Cricetulus griseus: one gene and its partners. The protein of the gene in region 2 interacts with the protein of the main gene of each other region in a pairwise test. Links are inferred from orthologs where the notes say so. Each region holds a gene or a part of one and is shown on either strand. Other genes may lie near its edges. The genes, in order: Rhobtb3, Ubxn11, Psma1, Ushbp1, Eif4e2, Eif4e and Tle5.

Region 1 (3,872 bases), about 280 Mb from region 2:
CCTCCTCTAACAAGGAAAGGACTAGACAATAGCTTTTGTGGTCCTCACATCTAGTTGAATGTTTTCGAGACTTTTGATACTGTGAGCCTCCTGATCTGAGGATGTGGGCGTTTAAAGGCTGCTACTGACTTTCAAAACCAGACTCCCCTAAAAACTTTGCCAGGATGCTTAGGATCTATTTGTATAACTAACCAAAGGCTATCTTTGGCCATCACACATTAGTAATGTTAATAATAATAATGTGTATCAGCTACACAGTCCTTTCGACTAGGCACAGAAGCCCCTTGGAGTGTTTTATCCCATTCTGCCACCAGGTGGCGCCCTCCTCAAACACAGCTGGAATGAGCACCACATACACTGGTGACCTAGGAGATGAGGCCTTGTTCACAAAAGCCAGCAACCCTAGGGAAATGAAAACCATACCTTTCAGATCATACCCCCCTTTTGGCCTCCATGCTTTAATTTTTAGATTAGGAAATTTTCCTACATTTGTTGTTTAAATAAAATTGAATAATTCCTAAATGAAAGGACAGGGTTTCCAAAGAGAAAATTACTTCTATAGTCAAAGTGTCTCAGTATCCCAGTTAGTCGTGTTTTGGAGTTGTTACTGCCAGTATTAATAAGGTCTGGCTTGTTATTTTTGTTTGGTGAAAATGAAGGCATTGGCTCTTAGTGGAAATAAATACTATTTTCTCAATACTGGAAATTTGAATAATTAATAAAAACTTTGACCACTAGTTTTTTTGTTTTTTGGTTTTTTGTTTTTTTTGGCTTGTTTGTTTTCTTTTAAAGATGTACCAAGCTTGATGGCACACACCTTTAATACTAGAACTCAGGAGGCAGGAGTAGTTGAATCTCTCAATTTGAGGCCAGCCTGATCTACACAGTGAGTTCAGGACTGCTAGGGCTACATAGAACCTATCTCAAAAAGCCTAAATAAATAAGTGAATAAATAAATAAATAAATATACAAGTGTACTATTGCATTAGCACAAATCAAGGTGGTATCTCTAAATTGCTTTAGTGATTGCATTATATAGTAGCACACTCAAATTTTTAAAGTCCAATTTCCTGTTTCAATGTTTTACTAAAAGGCTTATTCATAATAAAAGTTATAAATTTACTGTTCTTGTTTCATTTCTGTTGCTGTGATAAAATACTCTAATAGGGAGTAACTTATGGGAGAAAGCATCTATTTTAGATAACAATTCCAGGTCGAAGTCCATATTCCAGGTGGTAGGAAGCTGGGGCAGTTAGTCATATCATATCCTTGGTCAAGAGCAGAGGGAAATAATTGTATTCATCCCTTCTGCTCAGCTCACTTTCCTACTCTAATACAGTCCAGAACAAGCCTCGGGAATGGCACTGCCCACAGTGGGCAGGTCTTCCCACAGACATGCTAACAGGCTAGCCTCATCTAGACGATCCCTCATTGAGACTATCCTCACATGATTCTAGATTATGTCAATTTGACAATTGCAACTGGGCCAGCACTCTACACCTGAGCCATATGCACAGTCCACACCTAACACAAAACTTAACTGTGTGATTTCCAGGGGTGGACAAGAGGGAAAGTGGGGAGTGACTGTCTGACACTCACAAGGCTCAGTCTAGGAAGATGAATGGTGCTCCGGAGAATAAAGAGTGGTGATGAGTAATCCCTGCACCAAGGAAGGTAGAGAGAGAGAATCCCCAGAGCAATCCCCAGAGCAGGCTGGCTAGCCAAACTAAACTGTTAAAGACCCTGTCTCGGTGTACAAAGTGGTGAGCGATGGAGGAAGACACCCAGCATCAACCCTGGGCCTCCACACACAAATAGATACCACATGCATGCACGCACATATAGATACCATATGCATGCACACACACACGGATACCATATGATTATACACACAGATAATATGTAGTCACACACACAGATACCATATGCATACATAAAGAGATATCGTAGGCATGCAAGCGCATGCGCGCGCGCGCGCAAGCGCACACACACACACACACACACACACACACACACACACACACATTTAAAATTCTAGGTTTTGTGTTTATTGTGCCCCAAGCCTGGGCACTAAAGCAAAGAAAGAAAAGTTAGGAGTGGAGATGTAGCTCAAATGGTAATGTGCTTGCCTAACATGCAGAAAGTCCTGGATTTGATCCACAATACAGTATATTGAGCAAGACTGTACACACCTGTGAATTCAGCACTCAAAGATAGAGGCAGAAAGGTCAGAAGTTGAAGGTCGTTCTTGACTACATAAGGAGTTGAAGGCTAGCCTGGGATATGTGAGACCCTGGAGTGGGCACGGATGGAGGAAGAGGAAAAGATGAGATTTAGAGTAGCTAACAGAAAAATTTAGCCTTATCACACACACTTGGGAGGCAGAGGTAGACAGATTTCTTGGAGCTCAAGGCAAGCCTGGTCTACACAGTGAGTTCCAGCCCAGCCAGAGTTACACAGTAAGGTCCTGTCTCAAAAAAAAGAAAAAAAAATTAGCTAGCTCTCTGTTGGTTAAGGGCAGCTACTGGAATTCTTCTCTAGAGAGCTGGGGATGGGATTCTCTTTGGAAATTAAAGTTTTGTTTTGTTTTTTTTTCCGAGACAGGGTTTCCTTGTGGCTTTGGAGGCTGTCCTGGAAACTAGACCAAGCTGGTCTCGAACTCACAGAGATCTGCCTGCCTCTGCCTCCCCAGTGCTGGGATTAAAGGCATGCGCCACCAATGCCCGGCTGAGTGTGAAAGCTTTAATGGATTATTTAATATGTAATACAAGTTAGGAATGTGCTAATGGGACTCTTTCTAGGAATTCTAGTCCACACTGAAGGATAACTGCCTGCATGAGTGTGCACGAATGCTCGTGTGTTTGTGTGTGTGTGTGTGTGTGTGTGTGTGTGTGTGTGTGTGTGTGTGTTGATTGGGAGTTTTGTTGCTACTGCTGCTGTTGTAGCTCTCACTAGGCTGGAACTCAGTGTATAGATTAGACTTCCTTCAGCCTCACAGAGCACCACTACCTCAGCTTTCCCAAGTGCAGGAAGTAAAGTGTGCACCAGCTACCCCCAGCTCGTGCTGTGCATGTTTGAATTTTGTTCCCGAAAGCAGTAGTCTAATAATCCATCTTCTCTCACTTCCTCCTCCCAGCTGGCATTTTCCAGGCCATGTGTCTTTTGATCTGTGCTGAGATGTACCAAGTCTCCAGACTGCAGCATATCTGTGAGCTCTTCATCATCACACAGTTGCAAAGCATGCCCAGCAGGGAGCTAGCCTCCATGAACCTGGACATCGTGGACCTGCTCAAAAAGGCCAAGGTGGCTAGCCCTGTGTGTAGGGTGGGAGTGGGGAGGGGGAGTTAGAAGGGGAGGGGGCCTCTTTGGATTAAAATACACTTATACTCCTTGGTTTTCTGTGTTTTAACAGCTATGTCAAGACTAGTATTCCTTTCAAGGTTTGATTTCAGGAGGCTCTAGTTTCTGTGCACCAGTTTTTATGATGAAGTAATTCTGAAGCATTCACTGGGTTAGAAATCACGTCTACATAATTTTTTCTTGTAGTGGTCATAATCCCAGTTACTTGTGGCTGTGCTCTGAACATTAGCATTACAGGAAATAGAATTTTCCTTCCAAAAGATCATTTCTCAGCATGACTGAAAGGAACATGGCAGGATTAGTCTATGTATACGGAATGACATAGTTATGGGAACTATTTACTTCCTCATTCACTGATTCATTTCATGAGCATGGTTTCAAATCTCTTGGTAGCATTGGTTGAGTTTGCTGCCATGTCTTGCTGTGTTAGGTGTAGCTGGAGGTTTCTTATCTTACCCAGTTCCGCAGCCACTTTAAACATAACCACTCAGGGGCTTAATATTAGTTACAAA
Region 2 (4,534 bases):
CTAGCCTGGACCACTGGTAAGCACCACTGTTTTATCTCTAGAATTTTCTTTCTTTCCTTATTTATTTATTTATTAAGACAAGGTCTCAGGATGTGGCCCTGGTTAGTCTAGAACTCAGAGATCTCACCTGACTCTGAGTACCAGGGGTACAGACATGAGCCACCACTCCTGCTCAGCACTATATAAGTAGAATCATATACTATATAACCACCTTTTTTCTTACATAACTTTACCAAGACACACTTCCTATACTTCACCACTTCAAAGCATAAAATTAAGGTTTTGAGACAGGGTTTCTCTGTGTAGCCCTGGCTGTCCTGGAGCTTGCTCTGTAAACTCAAGAGATCCACCTGGCTGATTCTGCTCCCACACTGCTGGGATTTAAGGTGTGTGCCACTGCCTCTCCGAAAAGGGCTCCTTTTAAAAACAGATTTATCTATATATTATGTATACAGTGCCTGCATATATGCCTGCACACCAAAGAAGGCACCACATCTCATTACAGATGTTTTTGAGCCACCATGTAGATGCCGGGACCTGAACTCAGGACCTTGGAAGAACAGCCAGTGCTCTCAACCACTGAGCCATCTCTCCAGCCCATAGGGGTTTTGTTTTGTTTTGTTTTTTTGATTTTTGATTTTTGGTTTTTTCAAGACAGGGTTTCTCTGTGTAGCTCTGGCTGTCCTGGCACTCGCTCTGGAGACCAGGCTGGCCTCAAACTCACAGAGATCTACCTGCCTCTGCCTCCCGAGTGCTGGGACTAAAGACGTTTGCCACCACCAGCCAGCAAAACCATTTTTTGTCCTGTTATTGAGACAAGTCTCAATACCTAGTCCAGGATGGCCTCTAACTTGTGACCCTCCTGCCTCATCTCCCCGGTGGTCAGAGTCCTGCAAATGCCACCACTATTTATTTGTGTGGATGTGAGTACACACAGGTATAGGTGCATACGCATGAGTCCTTTGAGGACCCAGAGTGTCATCCTCAGGCACTCTCCACATTTTATTTTATTTTTAAATATATAGGGTTTGTCTCTAGCCTAGAACTTGTCAAACAATCTAATGTGGCCAGCTACAAGCCCTAGCGATCCACCTGCCTCCACTTTCCCAGCACTGGGATGACAAGTGCCTGGCCTGTCTGTGCCACGTGTGGGGTTTTTTGTTGTTGTTTTGTTTTGTTTTCAACATTCATTTATTTATTTATTATGTGTGTATGGGCACATGGATACCATGGTGAGCATCTGGAAGTCAGAGAATAACCTGAAGAACTCAGTTTTCTTTTTCCACCACATGGATCCTGGGGATGGAACTCAGGTGGTCTGACATGGCAGCAGGACCTTTTATCCACTAAGCCATCTTGCCAACCCTCACACCTGTTTTTGGGGTTTTTTTTTGTTTTGTTTTGTTTTTGTAAGTAGGTTCTAGAGATCAAAGTCAGGTCCTCAAGCTTGCAAAGCAAGGGCTTCACCAACTAACCTGTCTCCCTAAACCCTTGTTGTTATTTTGAGACAAGATTTCAATGTTTAACCCTGGCTGGCCTTGAAGTCACAGAGATCCTCCTGCCTCTGCCTCCCGTGTGCTAGGACTAAAAAGTATGCATCACCAACACCAGGCACTTAAACTTATTTTTAATTCACTTTTTCAGGGCTGGAGAGTGAACCTAGGACCTTATACGTGCTATGTAAGTGCAGCACTGATACACTCTATCTATGGTCTTTTTTTTTTTTTTAACGAAATAAAGTGTTGGGCTTGAAAATGGCTCAGAGGTTAGGTGCACTTGCTGCTCTTGAAGAGGACCTGGGTTTGGTTCCCAGCAACCATATGGTAGGTAGCTCATGGCCCTTTTGTAACTCCAGTTCCAGGAAATCTGATGCCTTCTTCTGGCTTCCTGTGACACGCACGTGGTGCTCATACATACATGCAGACACTCACGTATACGTATAAAATTGTATATAAAGAAAAGGGAAGGTCTTGGCCCAAGATGGCCTTGAACTGGCTCTAAAGTCCAGGCTGACTTTAAACATGTGACCCTCCTGCTTCAGCCTCCCGAGTAGTTAAGATTACAGGTCTGGCCCGGCGTTGGTGGCGCACGCCTTTAATCCCAGCACTCAGGAGGCAGAGGCAGGCGGATCTCTGTGAGTTCGAGGCCAGCATGGTCTCCACAGCGAGTGCCAGGACAGGCTCCAAAGCTACACAGAGAAACCCTGTCTCGAAAACCAAAAAAAAAAAAAAATTACAGACCAACAGCCCCAGCCTTCTATTTTGTTTAGTTACTGTTTGTTTTTTAGAGACAGAGTCTCACTATGTAGGCCAGGCCGGCCTGTGCCTCCCGAGTGCTGAGATTAAGGGTTTGTACAACCACACCTGGCCTCCATTTACTTTTTAAAATATGAGACAAGGTCTCGCGGAATTGCCCTAATTGGCCATGTAACCCAGACGAGCTTCACACTCGCAGTCGCGCCTCCCAGTCCGTCACAACCGACGAAGGCTGTAAAGGCCTGGCTGTCGCCTCTGGTGAGGGTTACAAACGTGTCCTGCGCTTCTCCACCTTGAGGGCCGAACTCAGGGCTGCCCTAGGCGTTCATCCCCAGACACGCTGGGCTCTGGGAGCACCGGCTGGCTGGCTGCGCGCCCCTCCCGGCCCATGGCTGGGCGCGCTTGCAGGGCGAAGCCCCGGCGCCCAAACCCCGCCCCGGGAGCCCGCCCTCGGCTCCGCCCACGCACGGACACGCTGAGCGGGGTCCCCGCTGCCCTCCTGAGCCGAGCCATGCAGGCCGCGGGGCCTCGGAGCCGGGGCGGGGGCTCCGGCCTGCCCGGAAGACTTGGCGGAGCAGAAAGGCCAGGAGCCGAGACTCACCACGGGCCCAGCGAGCCGTCCCGCGGCGCCGCCATCTTGTTGTCTCGGGGTTTCCTTGGCGACCAGGAGCCGAGCACCTCTCATTGGCTAACTCCCAGAGGCTCGCTGACGAACCGGCGGGCAACGAAAGCGGGTGTAGCCGACTGTGCCCGAATACTATTGGCCCACGGTGAAGAAGAGCGGCTCAGGATACTACAGATCCCAGAATGCACCGTTCTACGAGGTCAGAGGTCAGAGACCTGGACTTGGCGGCTGGACCCTCTGACCCTGGAGATGTGACGGTTACAGTGTCTAGATTGAGCTACGTTTCCTTTGTTTCCCCATCTGATCATGAAGCGATGAATTGGACTGATGCAGTTTCCTTAATAAATATTTAAGTCTCAGTTTCTCCTCTAACTTATGGACTAGATGATGCTATGAAGTAAAGTTCTAATTCTAGTGCCTATGTGGAAGAATTGGGTACCATACCCCACTCCCAGTTTGTAAATAAATTCCAGTCCTTGAGCCTCAGAGATAGATGACTCAGCGGGTAAAGGCGCTTGCCACCAAGCCTGACGTCCTGAGTTCTATCACTGGGGCACACGTAGCAGGAGAAAAGGACTCCAGGGGCTGTCTTCTGACTTCCATACAGACACGACACAAAATAAGTTACTAAAGCCAGGCTGTAGCAGCGCACGACTTTAAATCCAGCACAGAAGCAAGCAGTCCTGAGGTCAAGGCTAGCCTGGTCTACAGAGTGAGTTCTAAGACAGCCAGGGCTACATACACAGTGAAACCCTGTCTCAAAAAGATAAATAAAACAACAAAATCACTAAATAAATAAATTTAGACTAACGACACAGACAGTTTAGTTAGGACTCCAAATTTTGTCCTCACCAGGCAAAGGTGTGGCCTTGGACACACTGACATCTCATTTCCTTGTAAAATGAAGATAATGCCTACCCGACAGGGTAGCTGGGATGGGTAAGTGAGATTAATGCAAAGTACTTATGAAACACCGGTATAGGTTGAGTCGGGTGTAGGTTAGAAGAAAGGCTATGCGATAGGCTGGGTGTTAGTTGGGGGGTGGTAGGGGAGGAAGGGAGGGAGAAGGGAACTGGGATGGTCATGTAATTCAATCTTGTTTGTAATTCAAATAAAAAATAATAAAAAAAAAAAGTATTTCTTGCCAGGCGGTGGTGGCACATGCCTTTAGTCCAAGAACTTTGGAAGCAAACACAGACTGATCTCTGAGTTCAAGGCCAACCTCGGCTACAGAGTGAGTCCCTGGACAGCCATGTTGGTTGCAACCCTGTGGGGGGTCAAATGCCAGATACCCTGCATATCAAATATTTACATTATGATTCTTTTTTTTTTTTTTTCGAGACAGGGTTTCTCTGTGTAGCTTAGGAGCCTATCCTGGCACTCGCTCTGGAGACCAGGCTGGCCTCGAACTCACAGAGATCCACCTGCCTCTGCCTCCCGAGTGCTGGGATTAAAGGCGTGTGCCACCAACACCCAGCCTACATTATGATTCTTAACTGTAGCAAAGTTACAGTTATGAAGTAGCAACAAAATAATTTTATGATTGGGGTCACCACAACATGAGGAACTGTGTTGAAGGGTCGCAGCATTAGGAAGCTTGAGAAGCACCGCTAAACTGTCCTCAGAGTCACTTCCCAGCCCTTCTCATTTAGTG
Region 3 (4,623 bases), on a different chromosome or scaffold from region 2:
GCCTGTTACTCTCTATTTCACACCCTGTGTTATAAATAAAATAGGTTTTAAGCTCCCTGAAGACAAGATCTGTATCTGAGTCATCTTTCTATACCCATATCATATACTACTAAGCTGTGTGAAAACAAATGTATAAAAAATATTAACCTATAAAAGAAAACTAGAATGGCTCAGGTCATCCTTAAGGCAAGGCATGTCCAGCTCTTAGGAATACAGGGCTTGAAACAATATACATGTCAACAACTACCTCATGCAAGGACATTTGAAAAGCATTAGGATGTTTAATAACACTACAAGAATTAGGGAGTGGGAATACTTAACAACACACCCAAATATTACAAATTACAATATTCAGAGGACCCAGATACAATTTCCAGTATCCACATGGCAGCTCACAATACCAGGGAAGCTAATGTCCTCTTCTGGCTTCTGAGGAACTGGGCACACACTGGTACACAATCATACATGCAGACAAAACTCTCATATGTATAAAATAAAATAATTAAAAATTATTATATTCTGGGAGACAACTTCCTGAAATATGTTACTAGGATATTTTCTAGTAAAATAAATCATTATGAATCAAAAGGGATACTTAATTTTTCATGGTCATACGTACCATAACAGTCTAGCATCAGCAGTCAGACCCGCAATTGAGATACCAATATGGTTGTCAACATGGAGAATTTTCTTCTGGTGAGCTGCAAGTTCCGACTGTGCCCTCTAAATAGAGACATAGTACGATAGTTTACAGCTTTGTTTATCAGTGAAATTTACATTTGATAGTTGTTTCCTAAAGGAGGAAGACAGTATATCATTCCACTTACCTTCAATGCAACCAACACTGCATGTGTTTTTGACTTTAGGCCAACTGTGGCTGAACCTTGTTTAACAGCTTCCATTGCATATTCAATTTGATGAATCCTGCCCTGAAGACAAAAAGAAAAGCACTTCTTATAGTCAGTCCTTAGATCCTTTTAACTAAAAATTTAAGTTTTCAGATCTTAGATGAGCATAATTGAAGTTCAGTTTTAAAACAAATAAACTATTTTTTGTTTTGTTTTGCCTTTTCAGACAGGGTTTCTCTGTGCAATCCCCTGCTTATCCTGGAACTCGTTCTATAGACCAAGCTGGCCTTGAGGTCACAGAGATCCACCTGTCTGCCTCCTGAATGCTGGGATTAAAGGTGTGTTCCCCCATTGAGCAGCTAACTAACTTTAAGCTCACAGCCTATAATTTCACAAGTTTTATTTCATTGTTTTTTAAAGATAAGGTCTTTTAAGCTGCTCAAACTGGCCTCCAACTCCATGATCTCTGGCCTCAGTATCCTGACCAGTAAGGATTAAGATATGCACCATCAAGCACAGTTTACAATCTCACAAGTTTCTGAACCTACTGAAGCCAAGAAAAGCCACTTCATAGACACAGCAGGAAAAAAAAAAAAAAAATCTTACCTGAGGACTCCAAACAGTGACATCATTGTCATACTGGTTTCGAAACTGAAAGTGAAACAAAGACAGATTACTATGAGACATTATAAACCTCAAATTTTAACATTAAGACATGTGCTTACATACGTTTTTGCTCCTGCAACTTTCCTGAGACATTACTACAGTTTGCAAGTCAAGTCTACCTTAACCATGAGCTGTTGGGATGAATGGTCTAGGGTCTTCCTAATTTCCTAGTCTGCCACTCTCCACAGCACTCTCCTTGGGCAGTCAGGGGCTAAAATATGTACATATCAACTTTTCTTCCTCTTTGCTTACACTGTTCTCTTATACAAGGCTCTAATAATTTGCCAAAGGCCTTTAAATTGACTCAAATGTCTATCTCTTTAAGGTTTCATTCTTTTTCTCTTGCAGCCCAGTTTGGCCTTCATCTGCCACGTACCTGGGAAGATATGTACCTGGGAAGATGACCTTGAAGCCCTGTCTCAACCTTGCAAGTGCTGAAATTCAGCTGTGTGCTATCATGATCTACTCTACACTTTTTTTTTTTTTTTTTTGACGAAGGTCTCTATACTCTGGCTGTCCTGGAACTCACTATGTAGGTCAGGCCAGCCTCAAACTCACAGATATCTGCCTGCTTCTACCTCCTGAGTGCTGAGATTAAATTCGTGTACCACCACACCTTCTATCTTTACATTATGATTAAAGTTATGTCTGGTTTAACTTTGTGTTCTCTTCTTGCACCTTGCCACTGAATGAATTAACATACACACAAATCCTAGGTAAAGAAGTGGGCACAAACAGCTACAGTGGCAGAACCACTACTGTTATAATGCCACTACTAAAGCAAGTGTGTGTGCGCGCTTGGGAGAACATTCCTGAGGGTGAGAGGATCAGAGTTCCTATGGCAGGCTCGACAGAAGCAGCCCGGGGCTCTTACCTTGTGAACCTGATTCCATCACTTCCCCTCTCATCTGTAACTGGTGACAAATCTAAGCATTCTAAGGAGTCGGATAAAGCCAAAAGGACCCATAAGGAAGATGGGCACTGTCTAAGGGCCTCACTGTCGGCTCAGGTCCGCGCTGGCGGTGCCGGGAGGCCAAGTGCATTCTCCACCCTCTCACTCCTATGCAGTCACGAGGGACCACAGGGTCGCCGGGAATCGGCCACGGAAGTTAAGTGGGGGAAGCTAGGGGGTAAGCGTGGCTAGCTGGCCGAGGAAGAAGCGTCTGGACCCCGTGTATAGTGGAGAAGCGACCCCAGAGGCCTCCCCGGCTACCGGCCGCTCCTCGTCGGCCAGGCCGCAGATGCTGAATCACTGCCGGAGCCCATCCGTGAGCCAAGCTCCCTCTCCCACCGCCCCGCGCCGCAGGAAACAGAGGCCGATCCCCGACCGAGTCAGCGGACCTCAGCCCCAAACCCTCCGAGGACCCAGGGCTCAACACACCATGGCTCCGGCGTGGCGACAATCAGACACAGTAGCCGACCCAGGAACACGGACCCAACTACGGTTCGGTGATCGTCAGGGAGGCCTGCCGAGTTTTGACGGCGGCAGCGCAGGGAGCACAGTCTATCCCAGAGCCACGGATCGGCGTTTAGCGCTCCCCCGCCCTCCAGCTGGGCTCTGGGTGGGCGGGGTCTGGTAAGGCTAAGGAACTGGGATTGGCGGGAAAGCCCGGGGCTCGCCTGCTTGTGCGCAGAGACAGTCGGGCGTGGCTGCTCGCCAATGCACTGACTTTCTTTGCTTTATTTCCCCCGGTGGATTGCAGATTCCCGCCGACTCTGGATCCACCAGGCTGAACGCAACCCAACTCGGGATGATGCGGCCGTGCCGCATATCATGTCGGTCACAGTCCATAGAGGTTTGGGGACTTGCCTGTCTGAAAAAGGCTGTAGAAAAAGCCACAGAACCGTAGTGTGTGCGTGTGTGTGTCTGAAAAAGGCTGTAGAAAAAGCCACAGAACCGTAGTGTGTGCGTGTGTGTGTCTGAAAAAGGCTGTAGAAAAAGCCACAGAACCGTAGTGTGTGTGTGTGTGTGTGTGTGTGTGTGTGTGTGTGTGTGTGTGTGTGCGTGTGTGAAAAAGGCTGTAGAAAAAGCCACAAAACTGTAGTGTGTGTGTGTGTAACCGTAGTGTGTGTGTGTGTGTGTGTGTGTGTGTGTGTGTGTGTGTGTGTGTGGTGTGTATGTATGTGGTGTGTGTGCGTGTATGTGTGTGGGGTGTGTGTTCCTGTTTCTGGCCTGGAATATCTTGAGTACTTGGACAGCCAGCCCATCCTTCATGGTTCCATGGTCATGTCGCCCATTTCATGAACATTACTAGCTCTTCTGGGACTTTGAACTTCACCAGGGTTCTGTTCTGATATTGAATATAGGCTGTCCACAACTAAATGCTATGCCTGGTAGATTAGGCCACTAGGGGGAAGCTGTGGGTTTTCTTACGAATTTTTAAAGAGCATCTTTTGATTTGTCCTCAAATGAAATCGAGACAGCTCTGCGCTTGCTGCCTACCTAACATATCTACAGACTGCTAATTCTTTGAAGAAAGGATAAGTGCCCAGAGTCGGCTAAGGATCCTTAAAGATCTGAACTTTGAAGGCGGAGCAACACGTCACTTAAATGTTCACGTTCAGAGCAATTAGTATCACCTTCTAAATATTTTCATGTATATGTATTTGTTCTCACATTTATTTATTTATATATTTTATGTGTATGTTTCTGGCCCTGCATACACTTATGTGAAAGTCAGAAGATAACTTGAAGGAGTTGGTTCTCTCCTTGCACCATGTGGATTCTGGAGATTGAACTCAGGTTCATGGTTTGGCAGCAAGTGCCCTAATCCTTTGAGCCATTGTGCTGGTCCCTGTTTTATTGTTGGTTTTTTTCCCCTTTTTATTTTTCTTGTCTTTTTTCTTTCCTTCTCAGTCCCTCCCCCATTTATATGCACTCAACAGTTTATGAGATTGCTTTGTTCTCTAAATTTACCAACACTGTCTCTTGTTATTTTTTTAGAATTTTTAAAAATTTTATGTGCATTGATGTTTTACCTGCATGTATGTCTGTGTGAGGGTGTTAGATTCCCTGGAACTGCAGTTATTGATGACTGTGAGCTGCCATGTGGGTGCTGGGTCCTCTGGAAGAGCAGCCAGTGCTCTTAACCATTAGCCATCTCTCCAG
Region 4 (4,464 bases), on a different chromosome or scaffold from region 2:
CCTGCAGGTGATGGGGGATCAGACTGTGGCTTCCCATACAGCAGCTCTCATCAACAGCAGGAACCCAACTCCAAGCTCTGTCCACGTGACCAGACAGGTCCCAGTTGCCACTCAACACTTACCACTCAGCATCGAACCTGAGGTGTGCAGCTACTGATGGGGGGTTTAGGATTCATTTATTTTTATTAATTTATGTGTATTAGTGTTTGGTCTGCATGTGTGTTGTGTGAGAGTGTTGGGTTGCTGGGAACTGGAATTACAGGAAGTTGTGAGCTTCTGGAAGAACAACCAGTGAATGTTCTTAACTGCTGAGCCATCTATCTCTCCAGCCCCCGCCTTTTTGACTTTTTTCCTTTTTAATTTTTAGGAGACTCAGTGTTTCCCTGGGTTTTCTGGATCTCCCCAGCTCCAGCCATCCTCCTGCCTCAGTCTCCCACCATCACACTCAGGAAGGAGAGTTTCATTTTTATGTTGGTGAGAAGAGCCTCTCCAAACTGAGTGCTGAGCACCCTAGCCCAGTCTGTCTTTACTTCTATTTTGAGACGTTTGCCTATCTTGTCTAAGCTATTGTGATCCTCCTGTCTTAGGCTCTAGAGTTCTTAGCATGACAGGCTTGTCCCACAACACCTGGGTTTAACATCACACACAATCTGCCCATTTCTGGTCACCACCACCTTACTCTTCCCCGGGCCCACTGTTATCGCCCCTCCCCCACCACCAGGGTCATGGTCCACCACCAGGCTGTTCCTTCCACGGTCAGCAGATGGCGCAAGGGAACACCTCCAGCAGGTCCAATTCCCCGCAGAACCCAGAACCCTCTGGGGCTTCGCAGTACACATAGCACAGCTGCAGTCCTGCTCAGCCTCCACATCCTGCATACTGTGGTAGTCCCTCCTTGCCTGAGAGTTTTAATATGAAAAGAGCCTCTTCCTCCCCAATTGCTTTTTAGTGGTGGTGTTTTATCACACCAATAGAAACCCTAAGACTGGATTGATTTGTGTGTGTGTGTGTGTGTGTGTGTGTGCGCGCACGTGTGTGTGTGTGTGTGTGTGTGTGTGTGTGTGTGTGTGTGTGTGTGCGCGCGCGCCAGGACCTCACACACTCTAGGCAAAGCCTCTATCACTGAGGTACTCTGAAACTTTTAAAAAACAAACAGAAAAATTGACACAGGTCTTTAACCCAGGCTGGCCTTGAACTCAGTCTACATCTGAGAATGACCTTTGTCTTGACCAAGTGGCCTCTGATTGAGATCTGTCTCTCCTCAGCTTCTGGGGTGCTGAGATCATGGGGTGCACCCTGCCTGGCTTCCTTTTGACCCTCTCTTTCACTTTGCTGTCTTCCTTGGTCACTTCTGTGGCTGTCATTCCTCCACATCAGTTTGTTGAATGAATAAATGTGTGTTTGTTCAGCTCACCTGTCTCTGCAGAATCTCCTTCTCTGCCTGGGCATCCTGCAGGGAAGCCTGAGTGCAAACCAGCTCATCCTCATGGCGGCCCAGGGCCAGCCGCAGCCAGGCGTTCCTCTCTCTGAGGCGAGCTGCCTCGTGCTGTTCAGGCCAGGCTTCTTCCTGACCATCAAAGGGCTCCAATGCCATCTGGTCTCTCTCTTCTTTTTCCAATGGCCTTGGAAAGCTTCGGGAGCGGTGGCGCCAGGCGGCCACAGTGGCCTCAAGGGAGCTCAGCCTGCTCTGCAGGGTCTCAAACACACTGGGTACTGATGTGGCACCAGAGCTGGTATCCAGAGGGGCTGCCTGCAGGGTCTGGTGGCCTTCCACCTTTGACTTCAAGGCTATGGCCCCGTGGGATCCCATGTCACAATCACCCTCAGGCCTGGAAAGACAACCCAGGAACCCCAGCCACCTGAGTCTGAGCAGGGGCTTCAGGGCTAGACCTCAAGGTCCCTGGGAAGGGTGAGCAGGCAGTGAGCTGAGGAGGAAAAGGAAGGGAAGAGAGAGATGGAGGGGGATAGAGGAGGCAATGGACACTAAGAGAGGTGGGCAGGGCAGCTTTGTGAGGGGCTCCTGCTGGAACAGGAAGTAAGCACTAAATTCGTCCTACCGTTTCCCTGGGCTCTGCAGGTCAGGACCAAGGTGCTCCTGAAGTAACTCAGGTTTGGACTCGAAGCTCCCATTGGTGGCCTCCACCTCCTCTGAGCTCTCAGCCACTGGGTCCAGCTCCCCCTGAAAATGACAACCCCACCACGGCAGGTTCTAGTCCAAGCAGGCCTAGGCTCCAGGATCCATGAGGTTGGGTGAAGCAGGAAGAGGGGCACACTTACAGGCTGAGGATGCCTCCCTCGGCGGCTTCGGGGCCTAGTGGCCCGGGCGCTCATTGCCTCTTTAACCCCCTGGTTACAGCCCGCTCTCAGATCTTCCCTTTGTCTCCCCGTATCATTCGGTTTTCACCCTAGGAATTTTTGGTCAACTGCACTGACAGAACATTTGGATACCTCTCCGATGGTGCCCATTGCCTGTCTATTTGCCCCAACCTCTTGCCCCCTTCTCTGGTGCTTTTCCCTCATCAGTGTCCCCCTCTCTCCCCTATGGAGGTATGGGATAGGGACCCCAAGAATCTGCTCTCCTCCCAGGACTCTCCTAGCACCAAGCTCCCTCCCCTGGGAGTGGGGGGCTCCACCCTCTCCTCTGCTCCAGGGCACCTTGGGAAAGGCCTGAGTGCCTGGGCACATCTCAGGTCATCCTGGCCACTGGCTGCTGAGGCTGTGCTGGCCAAGGCTGGCCTGGGAGGGGCTGAGAAACAGGAAGCCTCCTGCCCTGGTCACATGGAGAGTTATTGTCTTGTTTCCTTCTTCAGGATGTCAGCTTCCTCCAGAATGTGGACAGGATGGAGAATTGGGACCCTTGTGCCACTCCAGGCTAACAGCCCAGCCCAAACTTGCAGTCCCTTTCTCTGTTTCCATTTCAGGGTTTCTCAGTGTCCATCCCCAGGTTCACCAGGGCTCACTCTTACTGTAAGCTCTCTCTCTCTCTCATTCTCTCTCTCTCTCTCTCTCTGTGTGTGTGTGTGTGTATGTGTTACTCTCTCTGTCTCTGTCTCTCTCTCTGCGTTTCTCTCTCTGCCTCTCTGTCTCTGTCTCTCTCTGTGTGTGTTTCTCTCTCTCTCTCTCTCTCTCTCTCTGTGTGTGTGTTTCCTCTCTGTCTCTGTCTCTCTCTCTGCGTTTCTCTCTCTGCCTCTCTCTCTCTCTCTCTGTTTCTCTCTCTCTCTGTTTCCTCTCTGTCTCTGTCTCTCTGTCGTGTGTGTGTTTCTCTTTCTCTCTGTGTGTGTTTCCTCTCTGTCTCTGTCTCTCTGTTGTGTGTGTTTCTCTCTGTGTGTGTGTCTGTGTGTTTCCTCTCTGTCTCTGTCTCTCTGTTGTGTGTGTTTCTCTCTGTGTGTGTGTCTGTGTGTTTCCTCTCTGTCTCTGTCTCTCTGTTGTGTGTGTTTCTCTCTCTCTGTGTGTCTGTGTGTTTCCTCTCTGTCTCTGTCTCTCTGTTCTCTCTCTCTCTCTCTCTCTCTCTCTCTCTCTCTCTCTGTTTCTCTCTTTGTGTGTGTTTCTAAAATTAAAAATAACAAACCTGTAGGCGTGGGCTCCAACATTGGAATAAATTTTATTTTTCATTACTTTGTTCTATCTATTTGTGTCTGTGGTGGGTGAGCTGCAAGCACTCGTGGGATCGATCCTCTCCCTCGGTCAGGCGTGGTGGTGGCCGCACCTGCTCTCCGACCCACAACGGTTTTCTTCAAGCAGAGCACCGTCTGTTGGCGCCGGAAAGCTCCCCCGGGACAAGGAGCCTGTCCACGGTATCTGCGGGATTTTCTTTATTTTTCCTTTCCATTTTGGCTTTTAGAAGTGTCTCGTATAGCCCAGGCTAGCCTAACACCTGACGTCATCTTCTGCCCTCTGGAGTGCGGAGATGACAAGTGTGCTCCCCAGCCCCCATCGCGATGGTATTGGTGAGTGCCAACATATGTAAAAGACGAAGCAGAAATACATGACGCAAATCCACGTCAAGTCCCACCGCGTCAATCACCAATCAGCCCCGCCCAGGTCGGCTCCTGTCCTATCTCAGCAGAAGCCTTGACAAGTGTAGTGTTGCTTCAGTCAACCCCGTTCTGTCACACCCATCCCTAACACTACCCCACTTCAGCCCCACTCCTGCCAGTGTGCTCTAAGGCACACCCCCAGGATCCCGGGGCCATTGAACTACATTTCCCAGAAGACGTTACGGCAGCACCGTGCAAACTTCCGGTCAGGAAGATGGCGGCTTCCTAGAACCCTGTGATTGACTGGCTGTGGTTCCTAGGTTGCAGAGTGGAACCTGGCGGTGTGATCTCGTGCGAGCTTTTTGTCGTTGTGGTCGGACATCGATCCGGCTTGCTGCAGTTCCAGGTTCGTTCTGCTTGAGGAGGTGGGGGCTCCGGAGTCCTGAGTCGCCACCCCGAGAAACGCGCATCATTGCACGGTCGGCGA
Region 5 (3,872 bases), about 420 Mb from region 2:
CTAGCAACACCCTGTCTCAAAACACAAAATCACAACCTGTGCTGTCCTGGCTCTGTGCTAGGCAGACTCCCACTTTCCCAAATGTATGGGAAAAGGAGCTGCAATGGCTCTTAAAGGTCCTTTTTCAGCCTGAGTCAGTGATTAGTACTTTTGGCTTGAAGTGGAGCTTTTGAAAAGACATCCTTTGGGCTGGAGAGATGACTCCGTGGCTAAGAGTATTTGCTGTACTTCCAGACGACTGGAGTTTGATGCCCAGCAACCACAATGGGAGGCTCATATCAGCTGTAACTCCAGATGTAGGGAATCCAATGCCCTCTTCTGGCCTCTGAGGGTGCCTACAATCATGTGTGCACATATACACATATACATAAACAAAAGTAAAAATATAAACCTTTAGACCAAAGGTGGTGGCAGAAGCAGGAAGATCTTGGTGAGTTCAAGGCCAGCCTGGTCTATATAGTGACTAGAATTCTAGGCCAGTACAGTGAGACTCTGTCTCAGAAAGGAGGGGAGGGCTGGGGAGGGAAGGAGAGGAAAGGGAGAAACAAGAAAAGGAAGAAAAGAAACTCAAAAAACCAAAACACTAGAACTATTGCTTTAGATCTGAAAAAGGATTGATGTTATCATTACTTCTCTGGGAGGGATTTAGTATCACAGGGTATTTCTTTTCTTTTTTCTTTTTTTTAAGATTTTTCAATGCAACGGGGTTTCTCTGTGTAGGGCTGTCCTGGAAATCACTTTGTACACCTGGTTGGCCTCTGCCTCCTGAGTGCTGGGACTGAAGATGTACACTACCTCCGTCTAGCCACAGGCTATTTCTTAATGTTGTGGATTATGATGGCAGACTTTAGGCTCTATCACTTGTCCAGTGAATACTGACAGTGTTGATGGCAAACATCTGAATGCCACAAGGAAAAAAAGATAACATAAAATTCCCTTGTTTCCTTGGGGTAAACTCACATTTCTTTCTTTCTTTCTTTCTTTTTTTTTTTTTTTTAACATTTTTTCTGTATAGGAAAGAAAAATGCAAGACATAATCATAGTTATTCTGAAATAATTCAACAGAACTCTGAATGAAAATGTCTTCCTAACATAGTGGCTGCCACTGTACTTAGAAACTAGTCTAACATTCCCATACAGCAGATAATCCAAACTTCTCTGACGGCTTCTGTGTTAGAAATAAACTGGGTATGGTGGCTCACATTTGTAATCCCAGCACTTGAGATAGGACTGTGGCAAGCTCCAGGCCAGTTGGGTTACCCAGCAAGACCCATTCTTAGAAAACTGATTCTGCACACAGACTGAACATAGAGCACACAGGGGTGCAGGAAAATCTCTACTGAACAAGGTACACTTAGCTGTGTGTGTTAGCTGTATATAGTCAGGGTAAAGAGCCAGGAGGGAGGGTAAGGATGGGCTGTGGTGAGGAGGAGCCCGAGCACTCTGTATTGTCAGAATCTAATTTCATGAGGATGGACATCATATACGGTAAATCTGTCTCTCTTATGACACTCTCTATATAAGGACTCAATAAACATCTGTTAAAGTAAGAAACCTCAAACCAAAACTCTTTTTATTTTTGTATTATGCCTTTCTGATCAAAGCTACTTTTCCATACTTAGATTACCTAAATGTTACCTAAGAATTGAACAAATATGACCTTGAGGGAGTGCAAGCCATTCAAGAATGTTTAGCAGGTTACTAGGAAGGCAGACACAGGGACAGAAAGAAATGAAGGTATATGAGTGCTGTATATTCCACCAGACTAAGTACTCACAGAGGCAAAGGTGCCAATCTGCTTGATGTTCTGCTCATAGCTCTGTGAACTGGTAGGACGGCCGGGGGTTCTCCTAGAGTACCAAAAGGTGTAGTTGTACTGCAGGGGATGTTCTGCTGGTCCAGGGACAACAGCCTGGGGAGCATAGAAAGTTAAGTTAGTTCATGGCATTTGTTACATCGATGTGAGTCCTAACATTTATATTGTCTTTTTTATAAGATTTACTTTTTTTTTTATTTGTGTGCATACACGTGTACATGCTCATGTATGCATGTGGGTGCTTGCAAGGCCAGAAGAGGGCTTGTAACTATCCAGCATGGGTGCTGAGAACCAAACTCTGGTTTGTAACAACAGCAAGTGCTCTTAACTACTAAATCATCTCTTCAGCACCTTGTTTCTAAAATTATGATCATTATCATCATGTATAATGTGTGAAAGACAGAATGTGGGAGTATGCATGCCATGGTATGTGTGTGGAGGTCAGAGGACAACTTTCAGGGCTGGTTCTTCCCATCTCACTGTGAGATCCAGGGACTGAACTCAGATCATCAGGCTTGTGTCTGATGGGCCATTTCTCTGATCCTTAATAAATATTTCACAGCATCAAACCTACTAGACATGGTGGTACAAATCAGAGGCAGACAGATCTATGAGTTTGAGGCCACCTTGGTTGACAGATTGATTGAATTCCTGAACAGCCAGGGATACACAAAGAAACCCTGTCTTGAAAAAATGAACAAAAAAAGTATAGCTCCCTTCCCACCTCCACAACTGAAAATAATACCATAATTTCAATTACTTGCAATGTGCAGGAGTCTGCTCACATAGTACATTCTTCGGTGGTTAGATGACTCCACATTGCTGTAACACAACTTTCTGTCTTTCTTATAACACCATGGGCATTCATTATCTCAACATATGCCCACTCCAAGGTCTGTCTCTTCAACATTCATTACTAAAGATTGGCAGGTCACTTAAACCTGCTCCCTATCTGCAAGATGGAGATAACAATAACCATCTCAAAGGGTCACTGTGAAGAACAAATGAACTAGAAGCACAGAGTGCTTGGGCATTGCCTGACACACAGCAAGTGCTCAGTGAATATAAGCTCCTCAGGCCACAGGCTCTCTTGCCCTTGTGACACCCCCCACCCCCACCCCCGCCAAGTCACCAAACAGGGTTTCTCTGTGTAACAGCCCTGGCTATCTGGCTATCCTGGCATTCACCCTGTAGACCAGGTTGGCCTTCCTCTGCTGGAAATAAAGGTGTGTGCCACCACCGCCCAGCCTTTTTTTTGGTTTTTCAAAACAGGGTTTCTCTGTGTAGCCCTGGCTGTCCTGGAACTTGCCATGTAGACCGGGCTGGCCTCCAACTCAGAGATCTGCTGGTCTCTGCTTCCTGAGTGCTGGGATTAAAAGCATGCACCACCACCACTCATATCTTTGTGACTTCTTACTCTCTAGAAGTAAATGCTTATATCTGGCAGGCATTCAGGATTATCAGATAAAAAGGGCTGTAATACTGAAAAATTTGACCCACTTATCTTTCATTCCCTAAATTCTCTTTATCCCAAGCTACTTTTCAATGTGTACTACTGTTGACTGAAGAGTCTAAAATAGCAATGTGTAGGATTTAAAGAAATCCCAGTTAAGAACCTTGACTCCATCTCACATGAGGATACTGTAAAGCTATGCAGCATCCCAAGACCTCATGACAAGAGGAGGTTCTAAGTTCCAAAATGATCTCTGGTCATTCCACTATTTTTTAAAACTTGTAATTATAAATGAATACTAAGGATTTCTCTGTGATATTTCCATACACACATCCACCAAGCTTTGGTCACACCCAGTGACCCATGTACTCTTTTTTACCCTCTTCCTCCCTCTCTATACCTTCCCCCCTTTTTTTCAGTGCTAGGAATTGAACCCAAAGCCTTATACCCTCCAACGAAGTGGTACCCCTAGTCTCATACTCTTTTGGTGTTTCTGTATATATGTCCATGAGCGTGTGCATGAGAGCACGTGGAGGAAAGAAGTCTTTCCAGAACCTCAACCTTTTGTTTTTAGAACGAATTAGAGATTCCAAAAGAGTACCT
Region 6 (3,598 bases), on a different chromosome or scaffold from region 2:
ACGACCAGTGTCAAGGTGTTAAGTTTAGTCTTCAGTGAATGAAGCACATCTAAATGCTAAGAAAAACAACAAAAGCTATAGAAAAATTAAAAAGTGTATGGCCATGTATTCTAAGTGATTATGAAATAAGGCTGACAAAACACCTGAAAATGTGCACAGAATTTCCTTGTCAACCCTAGAAATCTGAATTTTTAATTCCCAGGAAAAAATACCAAACACTCAAAAAATGAGCAGGAGTTTTACATTCCAGAATTTAACTTCTAAACAGGTTTTTTGTTGGGGGGTGTCATGGGGGGTGGCTGTAGACCAGGCTAGCCTTGAATTCACAGATCAAACTGCCTCTACTTCCTGAGTACTAGGATTAAAGGCTTATGCCACCACCACCTGGCCTCAACAGGTATTTTTTTGAAATAAATAATCTGACAACAAGTATGAGAACAACATTGTAACAGATTAATATACACTTTACCATTAAAAATGTATTTACAAAACAAGAGAAAGAAAGAAAGAAAGAAAGAAAGAAAGAAAGAAAGAAAGAAAGAAAGAGGAAGAAGGAAAGAAAAGAAAGGAAGGAGTAGATGAAATGTGTCAACTGGCCGGGCGGTGGTGGCGCACGCCTTTAATCCCAGCACTCAGGAGACAGAGGCAGGCGGATCTCTGTGAGTTCGAGGCCAGCCTGGTCTCCAGAGCGAGTGCCAGGATAGGCTCCAAAGCTACACAGAGAAACCCTGTCTCAAAAAATCAAAAGAAAAAGAAAAAAAGTCAAGAAGCATCAAAAAAAAAAAAAAAAAAAAAAAAAAAAAAAAAAAAAGCTATTTTCAGCCTGGCCGTGGTGGTACAGGCTTTTAATCCCAGCACTCAGGAGGCAGGCAGAAGCAGGCAGATCAAAAGTTCAAAGTCAGCCTACTCTATATAGCAATTTCCAGGACAACTAGGGCTACAGAGAAACCGTGTCTCAAAAAACCAAAAACAAAAAAATCCCTTGAAAAACTGAATGTTTTTAGATTTCAAAACATCTGATATAAAACATCCATAACAAATTAGTTTCTATTTTAAAGAAATACGACATTCCTACAAGTAAATGTGTAACTAAAAGATGAAAAATGACAAGTCAAGAACGTCTCCTTTCTTATAAATCCCACTTACAATCAAATTTTATTTTTCTTCTTACTGATTTAAGTTGATAGGGGCCAGGTGAGGGGGAGGAGACTGGCCACATTTATAAAGAATAAAACTTACCAAGACAAAATACAAAAGTTTATAAACTCGTTGGCTCTAAACATGGACATGACTCGCTACCTTCATTCAACTAGCCTAGGCAATTATATACACCACTGCACAAAAGCATTTTACAGAAGACAAACACATTCAGTATCAACAGGGTTCAAGCTTCTAAGTGTTCATAAAACATTTACAAAGAAAATAACAGCTCATAACGCCCAAATTTCTAAAGGTGGATGATTTAGTCAAGTTAACGCTGTCAAAGTAGGTAGGAAGAACAAAAGCCGCACCCTATGTGTGTGACTGCGTCTCTGTTTTCACACTCAGTCGTCCATATTGCTATCTTATCACCTTTAGCTCTGACATTAACAACAGCTCCACATACATCATCACTGTAGTCATCAAAAGATTCTCCAATAAGGCACAGCAGCTGAAAAAAAAAGAACACCCAAATTACATGAAACATATCAACAACAATGAGAAAAGCAAAGAGCTCTTCTAGGTGTACATTATAAAAGAAAGCAGCTTTTAAATCTAGAGTTGACTTCTTAAACTGGTCAGGCAGAGGCAGCATTGCCAAGTCTGAAGCCATCTTGATCTACAGAGACAAAAACAAAGCAAATGAATAAAGAAATTGATTCTTAATTTTTTTTGTTGTTGCCATTTTGGTGGGGATGGAGACAGGACATGCACATAATGGCAAACCGAGTAAGAGGACAATTGGCAGCAGCTGGTCCTGCCCTTCCACCCTATAGGTTATGGGAATTAAACTCAAAACTTGGCAGCAAGCACTCCCACCTGTGGAGCCAGAAGCCAACTTAAAAACTGACTTTTAGCCAGGCAGTGGTGGCACTCGCTTTTAATCCCAACACTTGGGAGGCAGAGAGGCTGATCTCTATGAGTTCGAGGCTAGTCTGGTTCACAGTGAGTGCTGAGAGGCTCCAAAGCTAGAGAAACCCATCTCGAAAAACCAAAAACAAACAAACAAAACCCTGACTTTTAAACTGTCTAAATTTAAACATTTATATATTTTTTTACCTTGGCTTAAGAAAATTCAAATGTTTTAACTTTTTCTGCAAACTGGGCACACACAAAAATGATCTCATTAATATCCATCTGCTCGACTGCTTAGTTTGTTGGCAAACAGTCATTAGCAAGATGACTGAAATAGCTACTTATGCTCCCATTTAATTGCCATGTTCTAACAGTTTCAAAGTAGAGTTCATTAGCATTAAGCACATTTAACATTGCTGAGCAACTGTTACTAGAATCTATAGCCATAATTGTTTTTAACTTACAAAAGTGAAATGTCCCTTTTCCTATGGCAGTGGGTCATGGGTCATGTCCCCTTTAGGGACTTAACAGCCCTTTCACAAGGGTTGCCCAAGACCATTGGAAAACACAGATATTTACACTACAATCGATAAAACTATAGTTAGGAAGTAGCAACAATAATTTTAGTTAGGTCACAACAACATGATGTATTAAAGGTTTGCAGAATCGGGAAGGTTGAGAACCACTGTCCTATGGGATTCCAAAATGATATTTACTCATTCTCCTCCAAAAGTGTAACTTTTGCTTTAAAATATTACTGATACACATATGTAGTAAGTGCTTATTCACTTAGTAAAAGCTAACTATAAATCAGGTATGGAGTCTAAGTGGTTACAAAAAAAGCATCAACCATGAACTTTGCTCCCCAGAACCTGACCATAGAAAATGCTTATGACTTCATATTTATAAAACCAAAGTGCTAAAGTCCCATATCAAGACACATACACCAAATAATATCAACCAATAAGCTTAGTTTGATTACACTGATTTCAAAATTTTGTAACTTTTAATCAGCAATGCTATGAATGGGTTGTAAAAACTTACATCAATTACAAACTGTGAGATCCTATCATTTTTGATTAATGAGATGACAGGGGAGAGCTGACTGTAGAAGGTGGAATTAATGTCAATCACTTTGTATCTGACTTGTAGATAATATAATCATTCACCAGACCGACATATACAAGACACTCTCATGGACATGTATATAACCCACAGCATTCCAAGGCTGGAGGAAGGGGGATCCTGGGCTCAACCCCAGCACAGCTGTGTAGTCAGACACTGCCTTTAAAGAGCAAGGGTTGGTGACTGTCAGTCAGCAGGAAAAGCATCCCTTAATTTTTCTAAATGTGTTTTTATTTTATAGGTATTTTTAGATTAGTATAAAGGTAGTGGTTTCCCCATGGCATCTTCATACTTGTGTCATGGTATCATCATCTCATTTCCACTCCAGACAGCGGATTCCCCACCCCCACAGTGCTTCCCTTTAGCCCATCCTTGTACTTTCCAATAGAATGTACGCACTGTCCTATTTCCAAACCTC
Region 7 (4,405 bases), on a different chromosome or scaffold from region 2:
GAGGCAGTCCTGCGACAAGGTGGACACACACACACACACACACACACACACACACACACACACACACACACCACAAGTAACTCTGGGTTGGACGTGGCTCAGCCATAAGCACCAAGGCAAAGGAGGAAAATGATAAAAAGTATCTCCAGGGAACTTATTCTCAGTGTGGATGCTGTTCCCGAGTTCGACTTCCCCCAGCCAGGAACTCAGGCCCGGGCTCAGAGAAGGCATCCCTGAGGAGGGCGGGGCCACGGACCCGAGTGGGAGACCATGGGGGGGGGCACACCTGTGCCCTCTCTAAAATGACAAATGCTGGGGCTGTGGCCTGGTAGGTAGCTTCCACTGACCTAGCACATGAAGCTCCACTGGGCCCCTTCTTGACTGTCATCTACTGTTAGCAGCTCAAGGTCATCCTTGGCTACAAAGGGAGCTGGAGGAAGCCTGGACTACATGAGACCCTGTCTCAAAATAAATACCAAAAAGTAAAAATAATAAATTAAAAAAAAATCACAAACCCAAGATTTCCTTTTTCTTGGAGAACTCTGAGTATCTTTCAAAGACTATTACTATTATTACTATTTGTTTTCTGAGACATAGGTTTGCTCTGTACCTCAGGCTAGCCCAAAACGCCTCCATCCTCCTCCTGTGTGTCTGAGAACTGAGTGTTGGGCCGCACCCCCATGCTCACTCACTGTTGGGAGTACAGGGTCAAATGGGGACCCCAGGCCACGCTTTCCCCAGTCCCCTACTTCAGGCTGCTTCTGTGCTGTGCAGCCCTCGGAAATGGCTGAGCTCTCTGGGCTTCAGAGTGATTAGTTTCACACATGAGAAACAGGAAAACAGTTTGTGGGAGCCCGTCAGTTGGATGGTCTGTGGGACACCAGCAAGCTCCCCCACTCCATAAGTGGACAGAAAGAGAAGGAGGGGCTGTGTGGACCTTGGCTGATTAATAACCCTCTCTGGACACCCACTGCAGCCTGTGTTAAAATGAGAGCATCACGCTCTCTGGGGACCCGGCTTCTGAAGCAACACACACTGTGTGCCTCGGTTTCCCCCTCCACACTACGGGGCTGCTGGTTTGGTTTTGGACTCAGGGTGGTATGTATCCCAGGCTGGCCTCTAACTTGCTAAGTAGTTGAAGATGACCTTGAACTGCTGACCCTCAAGCCTCCACCCCCTCCCAGCCTTTCTCCAGACCACAGATAACCCCTACATTCTGGGGGTGCGGCCTTCCTGGCGCGGGCTCACCTGTGGTACTGGGCTTGCAGCAGCTGGAATTCATCTTTGATCCGGTCGCAGGAGTCGGAGGTGGTGAACTTGAGCTGCTGGGGGAGGTGGGAGGAGCCCTGCGGGTGCGGGTGAGGGTGCGGGAGGGTGAGGGCCTGCTTGCCCGCCCACGCCCTACTTCCTGGCTGAGCTCTGCAGGCCCCAGCAGCACTCTCCTAGGAAGCCTGCAGGGGGCTGGGAGGCCCCCAGGCAAGGAGGCGCTTTTACCGTTGGTCATTTTGGGGGGCAGGCACCCCATCCTCCAGCGGCCTCTGAGGGGTCCCCGGGAAGCCCCTCTACGTCAAACAGGACACAGGCCTGCCTTCAAAGCCAGCTTGGAAGATGCACCTAGCTACCACCCCACACTTCCTGGGCGTACCCCCATCACACCTGTTTCCTCAGGGGACTCCCCCCAAAGCTGCCCAGCCCCAGGGGTGCCTCGCGGGGTTCCCCCCAGCCCCAGTGAAAGCCATGGGAGGAAGACAGGCCTGGGGTCAGGGAGGCAGATGGTAAATGTTAGGGTGCAGGGGCGGGCCGAGAGGTGTCCCTGGGGGTGAGGGGATGCACAGGGCTGGCATCTGAGGACACTGGGCCAGGAGTTGGGGTGTAAGGTTTTCGGATCTGGGGAGCACAGTTAGAGTCTGGGGTCAAGGCTGGGAGCAGGGTGGGGGCTGCCGGGCCACCGGGAGCTGGGGTGGGAGGGATGTGCGGGGGGTCGGCGCCTGGAGCTGGGGGAGGGCGGGCGTGGGGGGTCCTCGGGCTCCGGACAGGGGCAGAGGCACAGTGGGCGTTATAAAGGCGCAGGGTCCCCCACACTGCGGTACTGAGGGTGCAGGATGGGGGCTGGGAGGTGGCAGGCCTCTGGGGTGCGAGGCCTGCAGCTGCAGGACACAGGGCCGGGCTGGGGGGTGGCGCTGGGCCCGGATGGTGACGCCAGGCCCGAAAGGGCTCGGGGGAGAGGCAGTGGGTACGGAGCCTATATTCTGGGGTGCGGGGCAGCCGACTTGGGGGCAGGGATGGAAGTGCAGGGCCTTGGACTTGGGGGCAGGCTGGTCTGGGGCCATTAGCGAGCTGGTGCGGAGGGGTGCGGGAGCGCAGAGGTGGCGGTGCAAGGTCTCAGGCTGGAGGACACGTGCGGCCTGGGCTTGGGGTGCTGCAGCCCTGGGCCTGAGCCCCAGGGCTGGGAGACAGGCCGGATGCGGCTGGAGTGGGGTGCGGGGCCCCGGGCTGAGAGACAGGCTGGTCCGGAGTCGGGATGGGCAGGCAGCACGGGGTGGGCTCGAGGCCGGGATCAAAGTTCAGGGGTCCGGGCTGAAGGATGCAGTGCTGGGCCGGTGGGGTGCGCACGGCCTGGGTGGTTGGGTGCAAAGACCCCGGGGACAGCGCCGGTGGGAGCCCCTGGGGCAGGCCCTGGGCGGGGAGACAGGCGGGATCCGAGCTCCGGGGGTTCAGTGAGCAGAGCTGGGGATGTAGGGCGAGCACCGGGGGTGCAGGGCGAGCTCCGGGGTGCAGAGCGCGGGGTCCCCCTTACCGAGTGCCGGCTTTGCGGAAACATCATGTCAGTCGCGGGGGGCGCGGGCTGCGCCCCGGCTCGGGCGGCTCGGGGGGCGCCGGGCGGCCGCGCTTTGTCCCCGATCGGCAGCTCCGGGGCCCCGCGTCCCGCCTCCTGCGCCGCCCGCCGCCCGCCCGCGCCGCCCGCGCTATTGTGTAATGGCGACGCGGTGCCGCCCGGGCTCCCGCTCCACCTGCCGCGCCCGGCACTGCGCAGGCCGGACGCCCCACCCGTGACCTTGGCCCCGCGCGCCCCGCCCCCGCCGCGGCCCCGAGCCCTGGCCCGAAGCCTGCCTCGATCCCCCACTCCACTCTCAGGCCCCAGACCCACAGTCTGAGTGCCCAGACCCCAAGGTGCATTTATGAATCGCCTACGGTGTGCCTCGCCCTCTCTGGAGTGGGGAGGGGAGGCTTGGCACGGCTGGGGGCACGGTGATACCCGTCCCACGGAGGTAGGAAGGGGCCAGGCCTGTCACCACTGACTGAAGTGTACAGGCTGGAGGACCAAGAGTTCCAGGCCAATCTGCGCTACAAAACACCCAATCTCAAAACAGCAACAGAAAGTAAAAGACTTGAGTGATGGTGCAAGGCTTTAATCCCAGTGCAAGGTAGGTTGAGACAGGTGGAAGCCAGCCTGATCTACACAGTGAGTTCCCATACAGCCTGGGCTACATGAGCCTCCGTCTCAAAAATAACAAAAGTTAGAGACCTACTGGAAACAGAGGTGGTGCACACCTTTTAATTCCAGCGCTCCGGAGGCCCAGAGGCAGGCAGATCTCTCTGAGTTTGAGGCTAGCCTGGCCAGGATTGCATGAGCCCTTTCTCAAGAATAATTAAAATAAAAACATAAATATATAAAAGGAAAATAGTTCCCGGGGCTAATTAGTGCCCAACATTTCAGAGCAAGCTGAAGCAGAGGGATTCCTACAATTTCTGGCCAGCCTGAGCTGTATGGCAATTGTCTGTCCCATACTTGAGACAGACCCTGACAAAAGTCGACTGTTATGCACAGGTGACCCACAAAGATCAGAGAGCAGAGGTGCCGGGGCGTTGATGGCACACGCCTTTAATTCCAGCACTCGGGAGGCAGAGGCAGGCAGATCTCTGTGAGTTCGAGGCCAGCCTGCACCCCAGAGCGAGTGCCAGGATAGGCTGCAAAGCTACACAGAGAAACCCTGTCTCGGAAAACCGAGAGAGAGAGAGAGAGAGAGAGAGAGAGAGAGAGAGAGAGAGAGAGAGAGCAGAAACAATAGGCCCAATAGGCCTGGTCCACTAGGATGCCCAGCCCCAGTGAGGAGCTAAGGGGGGGGGGTATGCAGTTGAGGGGAAGAGGGAGCATGGAGACTCTCTGGCCCATAGGACAAGGACAAAGCCCCTGGGACAGAACTCACACACTGGACCCCAGGAGGCAAGGCCGCTGCTCATGGCAGGGCTTCTGGTAACAGTCCCACTGGTGAGTTTGACACTATCTTATTTAATGAAAATAGGGTCACATGTAACCCAGGCTGGCCTGGAACTCTGTAGCAGAGGATAACCCTGAATCCATGCCTCTCCTGTACCAGGCCGGCTTTCCCTATAGCTATCCTTT

Evidence for each region.
Region 1: the proteins of Ubxn11 (region 2) and Rhobtb3 interact in binary tests that used the Homo sapiens proteins (3 or more experiments, as listed by UniProt). The two-hybrid records come from large-scale screens. The link is inferred for Cricetulus griseus from reciprocal best matches to the Homo sapiens genes UBXN11 and RHOBTB3.
Region 3: the proteins of Ubxn11 (region 2) and Psma1 interact in binary tests that used the Homo sapiens proteins (3 or more experiments, as listed by UniProt). The two-hybrid records come from large-scale screens. The link is inferred for Cricetulus griseus from reciprocal best matches to the Homo sapiens genes UBXN11 and PSMA1.
Region 4: the proteins of Ubxn11 (region 2) and Ushbp1 interact in binary tests that used the Homo sapiens proteins (3 or more experiments, as listed by UniProt). The two-hybrid records come from large-scale screens. The link is inferred for Cricetulus griseus from reciprocal best matches to the Homo sapiens genes UBXN11 and USHBP1.
Region 5: the proteins of Ubxn11 (region 2) and Eif4e2 interact in binary tests that used the Homo sapiens proteins (3 or more experiments, as listed by UniProt). The two-hybrid records come from large-scale screens. The link is inferred for Cricetulus griseus from reciprocal best matches to the Homo sapiens genes UBXN11 and EIF4E2.
Region 6: the proteins of Ubxn11 (region 2) and Eif4e interact in binary tests that used the Homo sapiens proteins (3 or more experiments, as listed by UniProt). The link is inferred for Cricetulus griseus from reciprocal best matches to the Homo sapiens genes UBXN11 and EIF4E.
Region 7: the proteins of Ubxn11 (region 2) and Tle5 interact in binary tests that used the Homo sapiens proteins (3 or more experiments, as listed by UniProt). The two-hybrid records come from large-scale screens. The link is inferred for Cricetulus griseus from reciprocal best matches to the Homo sapiens genes UBXN11 and TLE5.

What each region holds. Positions count from the first base shown.
Region 1 is NC_048595.1:297,028,507-297,032,378, reverse strand, and holds part of Rhobtb3 (rho-related BTB domain-containing protein 3), read left to right. Parts: intron 1-3,136; coding exon 3,137-3,303; intron 3,304-3,872. UniProt on the Homo sapiens protein: Rab9-regulated ATPase required for endosome to Golgi transport. Involved in transport vesicle docking at the Golgi complex, possibly by participating in release M6PRBP1/TIP47 from vesicles to permit their efficient docking and fusion at the Golgi.
Region 2 is NC_048595.1:19,189,731-19,194,264, forward strand, and holds the start of Ubxn11 (UBX domain-containing protein 11), read right to left. Parts: upstream 3,011-4,534; 5' UTR 2,941-3,010; coding exon 2,857-2,940; intron 1-2,856. UniProt on the Homo sapiens protein: May be involved in the reorganization of actin cytoskeleton mediated by RND1, RND2 and RND3. Promotes RHOA activation mediated by GNA12 and GNA13.
Region 3 is NC_048596.1:86,388,521-86,393,143, reverse strand, and holds the start of Psma1 (proteasome subunit alpha type-1), read right to left. Parts: upstream 3,047-4,623; 5' UTR 2,899-3,046; coding exon 2,896-2,898; intron 1,500-2,895; coding exon 1,455-1,499; intron 930-1,454; coding exon 828-929; intron 724-827; coding exon 620-723; intron 1-619. UniProt on the Homo sapiens protein: Component of the 20S core proteasome complex involved in the proteolytic degradation of most intracellular proteins. This complex plays numerous essential roles within the cell by associating with different regulatory particles.
Region 4 is NW_023276806.1:247,620,347-247,624,810, forward strand, and holds the start of Ushbp1 (Usher syndrome type-1C protein-binding protein 1), read right to left. Parts: upstream 3,026-4,464; 5' UTR 2,656-3,025; intron 2,406-2,655; 5' UTR 2,332-2,405; coding exon 2,278-2,331; intron 2,180-2,277; coding exon 2,058-2,179; intron 1,830-2,057; coding exon 1,415-1,829; intron 2-1,414; coding exon 1-1.
Region 5 is NC_048595.1:438,866,138-438,870,009, reverse strand, and holds part of Eif4e2 (eukaryotic translation initiation factor 4E type 2), read right to left. Parts: intron 1,913-3,872; coding exon 1,778-1,912; intron 1-1,777. UniProt on the Homo sapiens protein: Recognizes and binds the 7-methylguanosine-containing mRNA cap during an early step in the initiation. Acts as a repressor of translation initiation.
Region 6 is NW_023276806.1:21,021,370-21,024,967, forward strand, and holds part of Eif4e (eukaryotic translation initiation factor 4E), read right to left. Parts: intron 1,652-3,598; coding exon 1,512-1,651; intron 1-1,511. UniProt on the Homo sapiens protein: Acts in the cytoplasm to initiate and regulate protein synthesis and is required in the nucleus for export of a subset of mRNAs from the nucleus to the cytoplasm which promotes processes such as RNA capping, processing and splicing.
Region 7 is NC_048598.1:102,308,431-102,312,835, reverse strand, and holds the start of Tle5 (TLE family member 5), read right to left. Parts: upstream 3,002-4,405; 5' UTR 2,825-3,001; coding exon 2,798-2,824; intron 1,347-2,797; coding exon 1,249-1,346; intron 1-1,248. UniProt on the Homo sapiens protein: Transcriptional corepressor. Acts as a dominant repressor towards other family members. Inhibits NF-kappa-B-regulated gene expression. May be required for the initiation and maintenance of the differentiated state.